2 linked regions of the Caenorhabditis elegans genome follow. The protein of the gene in region 1 interacts with the protein of each later gene in a pairwise test. Each region holds a gene or a part of one and is shown on either strand. Other genes may lie near its edges.

Evidence for each region. The genes of interacting proteins can lie anywhere in the genome.
Region 2: the proteins of golg-2 (region 1) and ces-1 interact in a two-hybrid assay, tested with the Caenorhabditis elegans proteins (one large-scale study listed by BioGRID).

The regions. Positions count from the first base shown.
Region 1 is NC_003280.10:5,036,026-5,042,081, forward strand, and holds golg-2 (Golgin subfamily A conserved domain-containing protein), read right to left. Parts: upstream 4,067-6,056; 5' UTR 4,010-4,066; coding exon 3,953-4,009; intron 3,898-3,952; coding exon 3,706-3,897; intron 3,660-3,705; coding exon 3,585-3,659; intron 3,499-3,584; coding exon 3,403-3,498; intron 3,354-3,402; coding exon 2,385-3,353; intron 2,329-2,384; coding exon 1,318-2,328; intron 1,274-1,317; coding exon 956-1,273; intron 908-955; coding exon 839-907; 3' UTR 533-838; downstream 1-532. Other genes in the region: lrr-1 (PIF1/LRR1 pleckstrin homology domain-containing protein), read right to left, coding at 1-25, 76-237, 291-401; F33G12.7 (uncharacterized protein), read right to left, coding at 4,256-4,353, 4,404-4,491, 4,538-4,654.
Region 2 is NC_003279.8:8,632,212-8,636,681, reverse strand, and holds ces-1 (C2H2-type domain-containing protein), read right to left. Parts: upstream 2,786-4,470; 5' UTR 2,734-2,785; coding exon 2,658-2,733; intron 2,343-2,657; coding exon 2,039-2,342; intron 1,988-2,038; coding exon 1,906-1,987; intron 1,806-1,905; coding exon 1,726-1,805; intron 963-1,725; coding exon 778-962; intron 724-777; coding exon 638-723; 3' UTR 513-637; downstream 1-512. Other genes in the region: cpn-1 (Calponin-homology (CH) domain-containing protein), read left to right, coding at 1-22, 67-309.

The sequences.
Region 1 (6,056 bases):
GTTGTGCCAACGCTTCTGGATTCGCCTGAACAATAAAAATTATTATTTTTATATTGAAAAATGCTTTACACGTACTTTACTGATGCAAACCATCACAGCAGGAGTTGTTTGAAATGTGATAGTGGTTTTTCCTTGAGCAATAAATTTGTCGAGAATAATTGGCGGCTTGTTGAGCTCGAATTTATTTCCAGTTTTGTCACCGGCCACGGCCACTGTTATCTGATATTGTGGAGGGGTCTGGAAATATTTTTTTGTTTTGTTACATATTAACTTATGAAAATTTAAATTACCTGTCGAAGTTTTTGCAGAATAACAAATCCTTTTTGCGATTTCGTGGGTTTTGGATTAACTCCGGCATTTGCTTTATAACGTGCAAAAACCACTTCACATGGTAATCGCATTTTTTATTGAAATCTGGAATAAGCAACTATTGGTAGTTTCTTTGTATTTGAAAAGCAAGTCTCTGAAAATCAAAATAAGTTTCTGGAAAATCAAGTTGAACCCGATAAAAGAGCACTGGGGAGAGTTACATTTTAAAGTTTTTACATTTATTCCCAAGAAGAATAATTAACGAAAAAATAAATAATAATTACCATTTGCTTACCAACTAATCGGACTTCAATAAAATTAATAGAAAATTGTCACTTATAAATATCACAAATGAACACAGGAAGTGATTGGGGGATGAAAACGATAATTTAAATAAGTCAGCGGGAGAGTCGAAATTTACAAAAAAAACGGGGACTGGAAACAATAAAGAATAATAATTAGCTAAAAGTTGTACCCACATTATAAGCTAAAAGAAAGTTTACAGTAAAGTCATTATGCACATTTTTATTCAGAGTTCTTGAAGATCTCCAATGCATTGTGTACAGTGGAGTTGTCCAGCGGGTAGAATTTGGGGTCTCTGTAAAGATATATTTGGGAACGATGAATCAAAGAATATTCTACTTACACTGATATCAGAAATAATTTCCAAAATTCGTCTAACAGATGCATCTTGGGTTTGCCCGAAAGTATCACTATTATCTTTGTCAGCAGAACAATCCGATAATCGTGGACTATTTTGAGCTTCCAACACAGTTGGTGGTGGAGTACTTGGAATCTTCTCATCATCACTATTACCATGTACTTTTTCACGCTCTGGAACTTCTTCCAATTTGGCGTCCACCAAAACATCTTCGTCTCCGCTCATTTCATCAACTGTCGAATGGCTATAGCTTCGGGAAACTCGGCGAGCTGCTTTTCGGGAGATTGAGCTTGTCTGGTATTCCTAAAAATTAGCTTGTAGGTATTACAGTTTCATAGATTAATTACCTTTAATACTCCACCTTTGTTAAGTACAGTCATTAACACATTTTGCAGTTCTTGGCATCGTGCAACAGTTTTCGTTCTGTCCTCTTCCATAGCCTTCAATTGTTCATCTTTTACACGAAGCCTTTCACGAACCAATTTTCTCTGATGCTGATAGAGAACAACGTGATCAGCAATTGTGTCATTTTCGAGTTCTAGCTGCTGGTTGATGTGCTCTAATCGATCAATTGTCTCAACGAGTTCAGCATTCTGAAGCATTGCTCGAGCGAATCGTTTCTCTAATTCTTTTCGTGCCCATAGATCTTCATGAAGCTCTCTAGAAGACTGCTGATTTTCAGCTTCTTCTGGAACCTTGGTTTCTTTCAACTCCAGCTGTTCCTGTTTGCTTTCGAGATCTTTCCGTTCTTCCTCTGCTCTTCTATCAGCTCGTTCATCTTCCAATTGTTGACGGCAATTATTAAAAGCTTCTCTGAGTGCTTCATTTTCGGCATGAAGATCCTGAACTCTGCCAACTGCTTGAGTGAGCTCAACGTGAATCGAATTCTGATTCTCATCTTCTGCATTTTGCCTCATTATTTCGTCCATTTGTTCATTATGAGTGTTACTTCGTCTCAAATCAGCACGGACCAGTTGAAGTTCATGAGTTTTCAGCTCTAAATCGGATCTGATTTCTGCATTTTCTCTTTGAAGCGTTGAGATATTTTCTTTCAATTCTTCATTGAGTTTCACGATTTCTTGAGATTCTTCACGTTGTTCTTGACTTGCAGCAGATTCTTGTGATGCTTCGAGATGAGGTTGTCGAGCGATTACTTCTGACAGATTACCAACAAGACCCGCGGTTTCTAAATTCAACTGCTTTGTCAATTCCCGTACTTGATGCTCAGCAGATTGTTTTGCAAGCTCGACATCTGCTTTTTCTTTCGTAAGAGTAACAAATCGGTCTTCCGTTTCCAAGAGACGTTCTTTAAGCTCTTTGTTTTGTGCCACTGCGCGGGATACGGTCGCTTTTTCGTTCTGTAAATTCGAAAATTTGAAAAATCAGGGAAAAATATTGAAAATTGTAAATCTACCTGTAGTTGCTCTGAAAGAGACAACAAATCAGCTCCGTTTGCAGTTGACTCTAACGTTCGTTCTTCCAAAAGTCGATATTTCATTTCAAGTTCTGCCAATGACTGTTCTCTTTCGAAAATAACTTTGTCTTTTTCTAGAATTTCTTCTTCTCTGCGTTTCTGATCATCCTCACTTCTTCGTTCCCACTTCCCTCTTTCAACGAAACACGCTTCACGAATCCGTCTTGCTACATCTTCTTCTGTGATAGTTGGAATTTCATCATGCCTCTCAGAAACATCCATATTCATTTGAAGCTTCTGCAGTTCAGATTGAGCAATTTCGAGTTGATTTTCGAGATGTTCAACTTGATCGTTTGAAGAAAATTTTTGATTATGCAAATGCTCGATTTCTAAAGCCATCTCTGCTTGCTTTTGTTGAAGTGCATACTCTCGATCAGCATAGTGAGCTTTTAATGTCGCAGATTCGACGAGAAGACGTGATTTTTCAGCTTTAACGTTCTCCAGCTCACGTTGCAAGTTTTCATAATTCGTATTCTCATTCGGAATCCCTCCCGGCGGTCCTGTGGCTCCAAGTTGTTTCAAATAAAGATCTTTCATTTGAATGTCTTTCATGAGCTGACTGATGCGATTTTCTTGAGCCGCCGTTTCTTTTATCATACTTTTCACACGTGCTTGTGCTTCACTTCTCTCGTGTTGAACATTTAGCAGGTTAGCTTGCATTGATGCAACTTCTCGTCGAGCTCCTTCTAGCTCTTGATGACGTGCAGTTAATAGGGAATCTTTTTGTGCAATTGCTTCATTGAGTTTTCGAATTTCGTTTGACGAAAGTCCAGATGATGTTGAATTGCTCATTTGGTTGGCAATGTTCTCTGCAGCAGCCAGCTTGTGTCGAAGTTTTTCGATTTGCTTGTTTGCCTGACGAAGATCACTTTGAGACGAAACTTTCTCTTCAACCATTGCAGACAATGCCTGAATACTCCATCATTAAATTAAAATAAATAAAACGAGTAATCCTTACATTTTGGAGTTGGACAATTTGATTTTCTGTATCCACATGTATTCCATTTGCATTGACTTGTGAATAAGCGGAATGAAGTTGGGAGTAATGGGCACACTAAAATGATTTTTTTTTTAATAAAATCATTATTCATATAATTAACGAATTAGTTTTTGTATTTGTCAATTTCTCATTATCCTTACCAATTCGTCATGCTGGGTCTTCAATTGTGTATATGCCTGATACCATTCGTTTCCGTTCGGTTGAAATGGTGAAGCCTGAAGAAAACATTTACTCATTTAACGATGTTATCGATTTTCTCACATCCAATCCATTTCTTGCATTCAAACTTTGTGCAGAAGAAGATGAGTGTGGAATTTGAAGCGCTGTCGAATCTTCACTGACAACGCTGCTCCGTCCATTTAAACCTGCTCCAGCACCCGGCTCTGATGAAATGATACTTGATGCAGGAGAATTACGTCCATCGAGTCTTTGACGTGCTTCAAAGTCTTTCAGCTGTAAAATTTACTCTATAAACTTTGTTTTAATAAAGTTTCCTCACGATTCTCACCTTTTTCCTGGCCGCTGCCAGCATTTCAGCTTTGGCAGGTGCAGCGGCATCGACCATATCACTGATTAATCCAGCTTTACGCCGAAAAACAGTAAAATCTATCGATTTTAAAAGCTGAAAATGAAAAAAGACGTGGAAATTAGTGGTTGGACGCAAACACCGCAATTGACGACATAGCGCAGACAACAAAGCGAGTTCGCAATGAAAGCAGCAGAAATTCACACAAAAAAGAAAAAATAATAGGTTTATGTACAAATAACTAACGAAACTTTGGAAATAAATGCTAAAAAACAACCGAGCAAATTAGAAAACTGGAGGCTTGTGATCAGATGAGACAGGCGAATCGGTTTGCCCCTTGGTGAGCCAGGCAAGAGGTTCTCGTGTGAACGTGCGGTATGCTTCTAGAATTAAGTAGTTGAAGATAACATTTTAATTGAGAATATCAACTCACTAGCCCACTTTGAATCAGGATTGATCTCATCTTGGAAGTAGGCATAAGAAAATATCAGCATGCCTACTCCAAATGCGATTAGGGAGTTCTGGAAAATACTTAATTCGTTTTTAAAATTGATTATCAAAATAGACCTCTCTAAAAGAAAGCTTCTTTCCTCCTTTAGGTAACTGATTTTCCGTGATTTCCTTCCATTCGGCCTGCCCGTCTTTTCTTCTGATTAAAACACGCAAAATCCGAGTCAATCTCATCTGGAACAAAATCTGTTTTATTTTCTGCCTTTTTATTTGTTTTAAAAATTGGAAACGAAAAGGACAAAGCGAGAAGTCAAAGTCTTCCAGTAATTTGATATTTTAGAAGGAATTGAATTGGTCATGGAATTCCGGAAGGGGACAAAATATTTTTAAACGGACATAGGAAATGGGGAATTTTATGAAGCAAAATATATGTTATATAATCGAATGTATTAAATTTGAAAAAAATGTGAAGAAAATTAATAAAAAAATACTAGGAAAAAAAATATCTTCAAAAATTTTTGATGAAAACGCGCCCCATTGGCACTTACTAGAGACACAATACGCAGGAAAACGAAATTTATGAGTACATAGAAGTGAATATTGGAAAATGTTCTTCAAAACTTTTCATGACAGTGTTAAACTGAAAATTAAAAAGAATGGTGATCATAGTAGCAACGAATTCATATGAGATATATGTAAAATATTTAAAAATGAAGGATAAATGAGGAATATATAATTCCCGAGTGTGGAGGGGTACTGTAGGAGAACATAAACAAGCCTATTATCTCTGTATACTGTAAAGCATTAGAATACACAAGCAAATTTGAAGATTATATTTTGGTTATTCGCTCAGTTTTTAAAAATATTTGGAAAAACACTGATACGAGTTTCCGAAATTTTTGAAGACCAATTGTTCAGTACCTAGAAACCTTTCGGAAAAATAATCAATGTCATTACTGTAGTTCTCTGAAAAAATGTGTTATCTGAAACTGTCACTTGCATATAAAATACGACCTTCCTCCAAATCACGCTCTGAGCACAATCGATCTTTCTACTCCAGCTGTGTACATGGACGGACATAAAGGACAGCCGTCAGTGTCACTTCCGCGCCACTTTTTTCAAATGTTTTATGCAAGTTTTTGGTTTAGTTTTGTTTCGAATTTATTCCCAATTGAATTGAATTCGTGACTGCAGAAGAAAATCGAATCGAATCTCCTTTTTAGCGACTCGGATATACCCTGAATTTTTTTTGGAGTACTGTACTATAAACTTTCTCTCCACTTCAGCAATATTTATAATATCCTATAGGAGAACGGCTACTTTCTCGGAACAAAAATATTTCTACAAAACTATTTTTTAATTTTTGCGCAAATGAATTAAGAATTCTCCTTTGGCGGCTGCGGTTATATATTAATTCCAAACTTGTATAGAAAACACACGAAGTGAGGTAAAACCTATTATTATTCAGTTTTTCACTCAAAAATACAGTCCTTGATCTTGCTACGACCGAAATATGTCCGTCGAGTACACGGTAAAGTAGTTTGCGCCTCTAAGGAGTACAGTAACCAACTATGGGTTACTGTAAGACTTATAGGCGCATACATTTTTAACAGATTCAATTTGAGAACATTTAAAT
Region 2 (4,470 bases), on another chromosome or scaffold:
GCAAAAGTCGGAACTCTTCCAGGTTTGTCCTTTCACTAAACACATTATGACATCAATTGTTTTCAGACTGTTGATCTCTACGAAGGACAGGACCCAAATGCTGTCCTCATCTGTCTCGCTTCTTTGGCACGAAAGTCTGAGAAGAACTTCGGTCGATCTGGTCTCGGACCGAAGGAAGCTCAAGGAGATCGTCGTGAATGGACCGATGAGCAATTGAAAGCTGGACATAACGTGATTGGTCTTCAAATGGGCAGCAACAAAGGGGCAACTGCTTCAGGACTTAACATGGGAAACACCCGCCACATGTAATTTCCAACGTATTCCCTACATTCTCAACCGGTTCTGGTAATCATAACGTGAAATTTTCCTATTCATTTTTTTATATGTCCAAATTATCAAGTGTACTGTAATCGATCTGGAAGCCACGCACTTCTAGAAAATTCAATTCGCTTCTCCAAATTTCATCGGTTCCAACATACAACTCATAATGATTTCCATGTTTTTGTGTAGAATTTTTGTCCAAATTATTTATTGTATTGTAATAAAGCTTGTAAGTAGGCAAATAAGCATTTTACAATATGAGACTAGACGATTTGCAAATGACTAGAAGAGCTTGAGGTCTGGTTGAACATGGATGTCATTTGCACGTTTCCAAATGACGATTTAAATAAGCTCGCAGGGCAAATCGACGACCACATTTATCACATTCGAATCGTTTGTCACCTGGAACAACAAATATTGAAGAACTGTTAGGTGTGAAAATATATGCGTAAATACCTGTATGAGTTAGCATGTGCGCTCGTAAGTTGCTCCGATCAGCAAATGATTTTCCACAATGAGCACAAGAGAAAGGCCGAAGACCTGTGTGAGAACGAAGATGTCCCTGGAGCAGCCAAAGTCTCGAAAATCGTTTCCCGCAAACATTACATTCATGAGAAGCGTTGTGTGTTAAAATGTGCATGCTGAAATTCAGTTTAACTTGTAAAACTAGGAGAAAAAGTTAACGTCCAATCCTAAGTCTCTACTAGATTGTGAACACTTAGCCCCAGCTTTCTGGTTGCTAGTTTCACTACTAATTCCATCGAATTCTTATTATTACCATGTATTATATAATTTCTATTATCCGCCTAACTACAATAGTGTACAATGTGTGTTGACGCAAAGAAATACAGGTACAGGTGGTGATTGCGCAATCGGAAGATTGTCTTCTGATGAGAATAAGGCAGGTGCGAATTGTTGGTGATTAAATAATACGAAGTGAAAGCTTGAGGAGATTAACCTTACAAACGTGGTTTCAATTACATTCTGGATATTATTTGGAAGTAATGATTCTCTATTCTTTGAACTGAGTTAGCTCGATATTTCAAATAAACTCTGGTGTGAAAACGTATTACCTATACGCGAAATATTGCAATTTTGCGCCCAAAGTACTGTACCTGGTCTTTACACGACAATTTTTTGAGAGTACTGTATTTTTCAAACTCTCTCGTTGATGCTCTTTTAAAGGGACACCTTTTTGCATTTAACCAAATTTTTTCGTGTCGAGACCGGGTACCGTATTTTTCAAAAATGACAATATTTTGCGCCTGCGTAATAACCAGATTTAGAATTTTTTCTAAGAAATTCAAAAACTTCACTTCTGAAAGTTATTGACTCGAATTCCTCAGTTTTACACGTTTCTCATTATAAAATACAATAATACTTTTTGAAAAGTAAAGCTCTTACCTTAGTGCAGGCATACTGACGTAGACTCGATCACAATGAGGGCATTGTTTGGCATGTGGACTATCCAAAGCTCTGTGCGTCTGAAATTGTTACTTTCAAAACAAAAGAATTCTCAATCCAGGAACACGAAGGAAGCAATATGTTATGTCATAGCTGTCAGAAAAACACTGTTTTACCTACCTGCTTGTGTCGACTGAGATTGGAAGTTGTTGCGTAGCTTTTCCCACATTTGTCACATACACATCTGTTATGAGAGGATGGTCTGAAAAAAAGTTATACGGGAGTCTTCTTCCGTTTCAATTACTTCACTAACCCTTTTTTATTCAAGCTTCTTCTATCCAAATTTTGAAGTGAATCCAATGTATATCCAGTGGTAGAACATGTTGGAGACGGAGATGAAGATACATCTTCATCGTTTTCCAATTCTAGTTTTGGAACTTTTTGAGAGTTTAGAATATTGTCTATTGAGAATACAGAGGTATTTTGTACAGATGATGGAGATTTCTTCAGATTTTCAGAGGACGTTGACGAACTAGAAGAGGACGAAGTAGATGCAGCTGAAGACTTTTGCATTTGTAGGTGTAGACTCATTAGATGCCATAGTTGGGCTTGAAAATCTGAAAGAAAATTTGGACTAAAAGGTTAAATAAGTATCACCACCGATTGCTCAACATTTGCTCAACTTTGACTGTTTTTATCTCGGTTGTCTCTGGTTTTTTTTAAAACATTGTGGAACAGTAAATATAGGTGTCAGATACATTATTCTTTATATTTTTGTTATTGAACAATTTTTGATAGATCCAAAATAAGAGCTGCCACTTTGGAGCAATGGGGGTGCAAGACTAATAGGAAAAATACAATATTTTGACACAATCTCCAAAACCAAAAAATATTAACGAAATATCAAGAACCTATTAAACTCAATAACTCACCACAATTGCCAATTATGGGGAAATCTACTGGAGGAGCAACAGTTGGTGTTAAACTAATATTCGGGGTAGTTATCATATTCTATCAGAAATGAATCAAGCTGTGAACTACACACAAAATCTGTTGAGCTTAACAAGACTGGGCGTGGTCTTAATGAGACGATCTGATTGGTCGGAGCTCACGAAGAGGCGGAACCACAAGAATTGCTCCAACAAGCTGGTAGACATGCGCAGTAGGTGGTCCCAAGAGGGACACAGGTTATTTTAGAAATATAATGGCTGAGGCGGTTATGGTTGAGTTTACAACACGTTTTGATATTTAGTCAATGAAAAATTGTAAAATTAGAGGATTTAAAAACATGGATTTTTGTTTAGAAACATAACAATTATTACTTTTTATACATAACTTTTTATTAAACAATTATTTCAAGTAGGAAATTTTTTGAAATTATGAAAAACTGTAGATGTAGATGCTTCTCTCGAAATTGAGTACTGTAGCTCAACTGTGGAAAACCATCAACACAGAAACCTGTGGCTATATCTCAAAAATTGAGATTCAAAAAGTTTCAAATTTTGTTCATCTGTCAATAAGCCATCTACAGTACTCTCACCGTTTAAGCTCGCTCAATCATGCAGGCAGATGGGACAGGTGACACAGTTCATGACCTGTTACATCATACCTAATTTCAACGCCGTCTGTCTATTTTCTAGTGACTAAATAGTAGGTTTATTTGTGCTCAATGCTCCAAATATATCAATTTGAACATTTGTGAATATAAGCGGATAATCTCTGGATTTTTCAATTAAAAAGTGATTGGAAATACTTTGGACCTCGGATACATGAAACAAAACACAAACTACACAAATAATGAAATGATTTTTTGATCAGTTGGAACTGAATAAATTGAAAAATAAGACCTTAGAAATAAAAATTAGAATATTTGACAGCATCTTGCATGAAGTTTAAAGTGACCAAAGTTTACATTAAAAAATGTTTAATTGAGATTTTTCCAACCTGTTTTTTTAGATCTAAAATACAGTTCTAGAACAAAAAATATCCCGACCAAATTTCCTTAATTTTTATCCTCTTCAGAGTTACACTATTTTTAATAATTATTATTAAAAAGGCTGAGAGGGACATTCATATATGATTATAATGCTTTTACCGTTTTCCACAACACTGCAAATTATTTGAAGGTTTGCACTGCAATTTTTAATGGAATTCATAATCTGAATCGTCTCAAAGTTACATCATATTATTCACAAACATATGTCCACATTATCTCACTAAAGACTGTAAAATGTAGTAGTCATATATGTACCAAGTGTCCATATCCCTCAAAACAGGTGTTTTCAATCTCAGTACCCATTACAGTCTATCAAGTGCAATTTATAGGAAGACACGTGTCACTTCAGACACCTCTCGACCTTTTTGTTGTACAACATGCCAACAATTGTTCAATTGAGATGCTTTTTTTGGTTTTTGAAATTTGGAACGTTGAACTGAAGAGCTAAGACTCTGCAAATAAAGAATCCAAATTTTTATCTAATTTTCTAAATGTTCAAAAAAATCATGCTTGTTGTTAAGAGTTTGCTGATTGATGTTTAAAAATAAATATATTTAGGACTCCAACAGGATGGCCGAGAAGTTTGTCACAAAGGCCCTTCACTTTGAAAAATATTACTAACATACCCTTAGAAAATTTTGAGATCATCTGTAAAAACCAACGATGGATTCATTTTACGAACATAAAAAGTAGTGACAAAGAAGAGATATATTTTTTTTATTTAAAAATACCTCACTGCTGCTTAAATC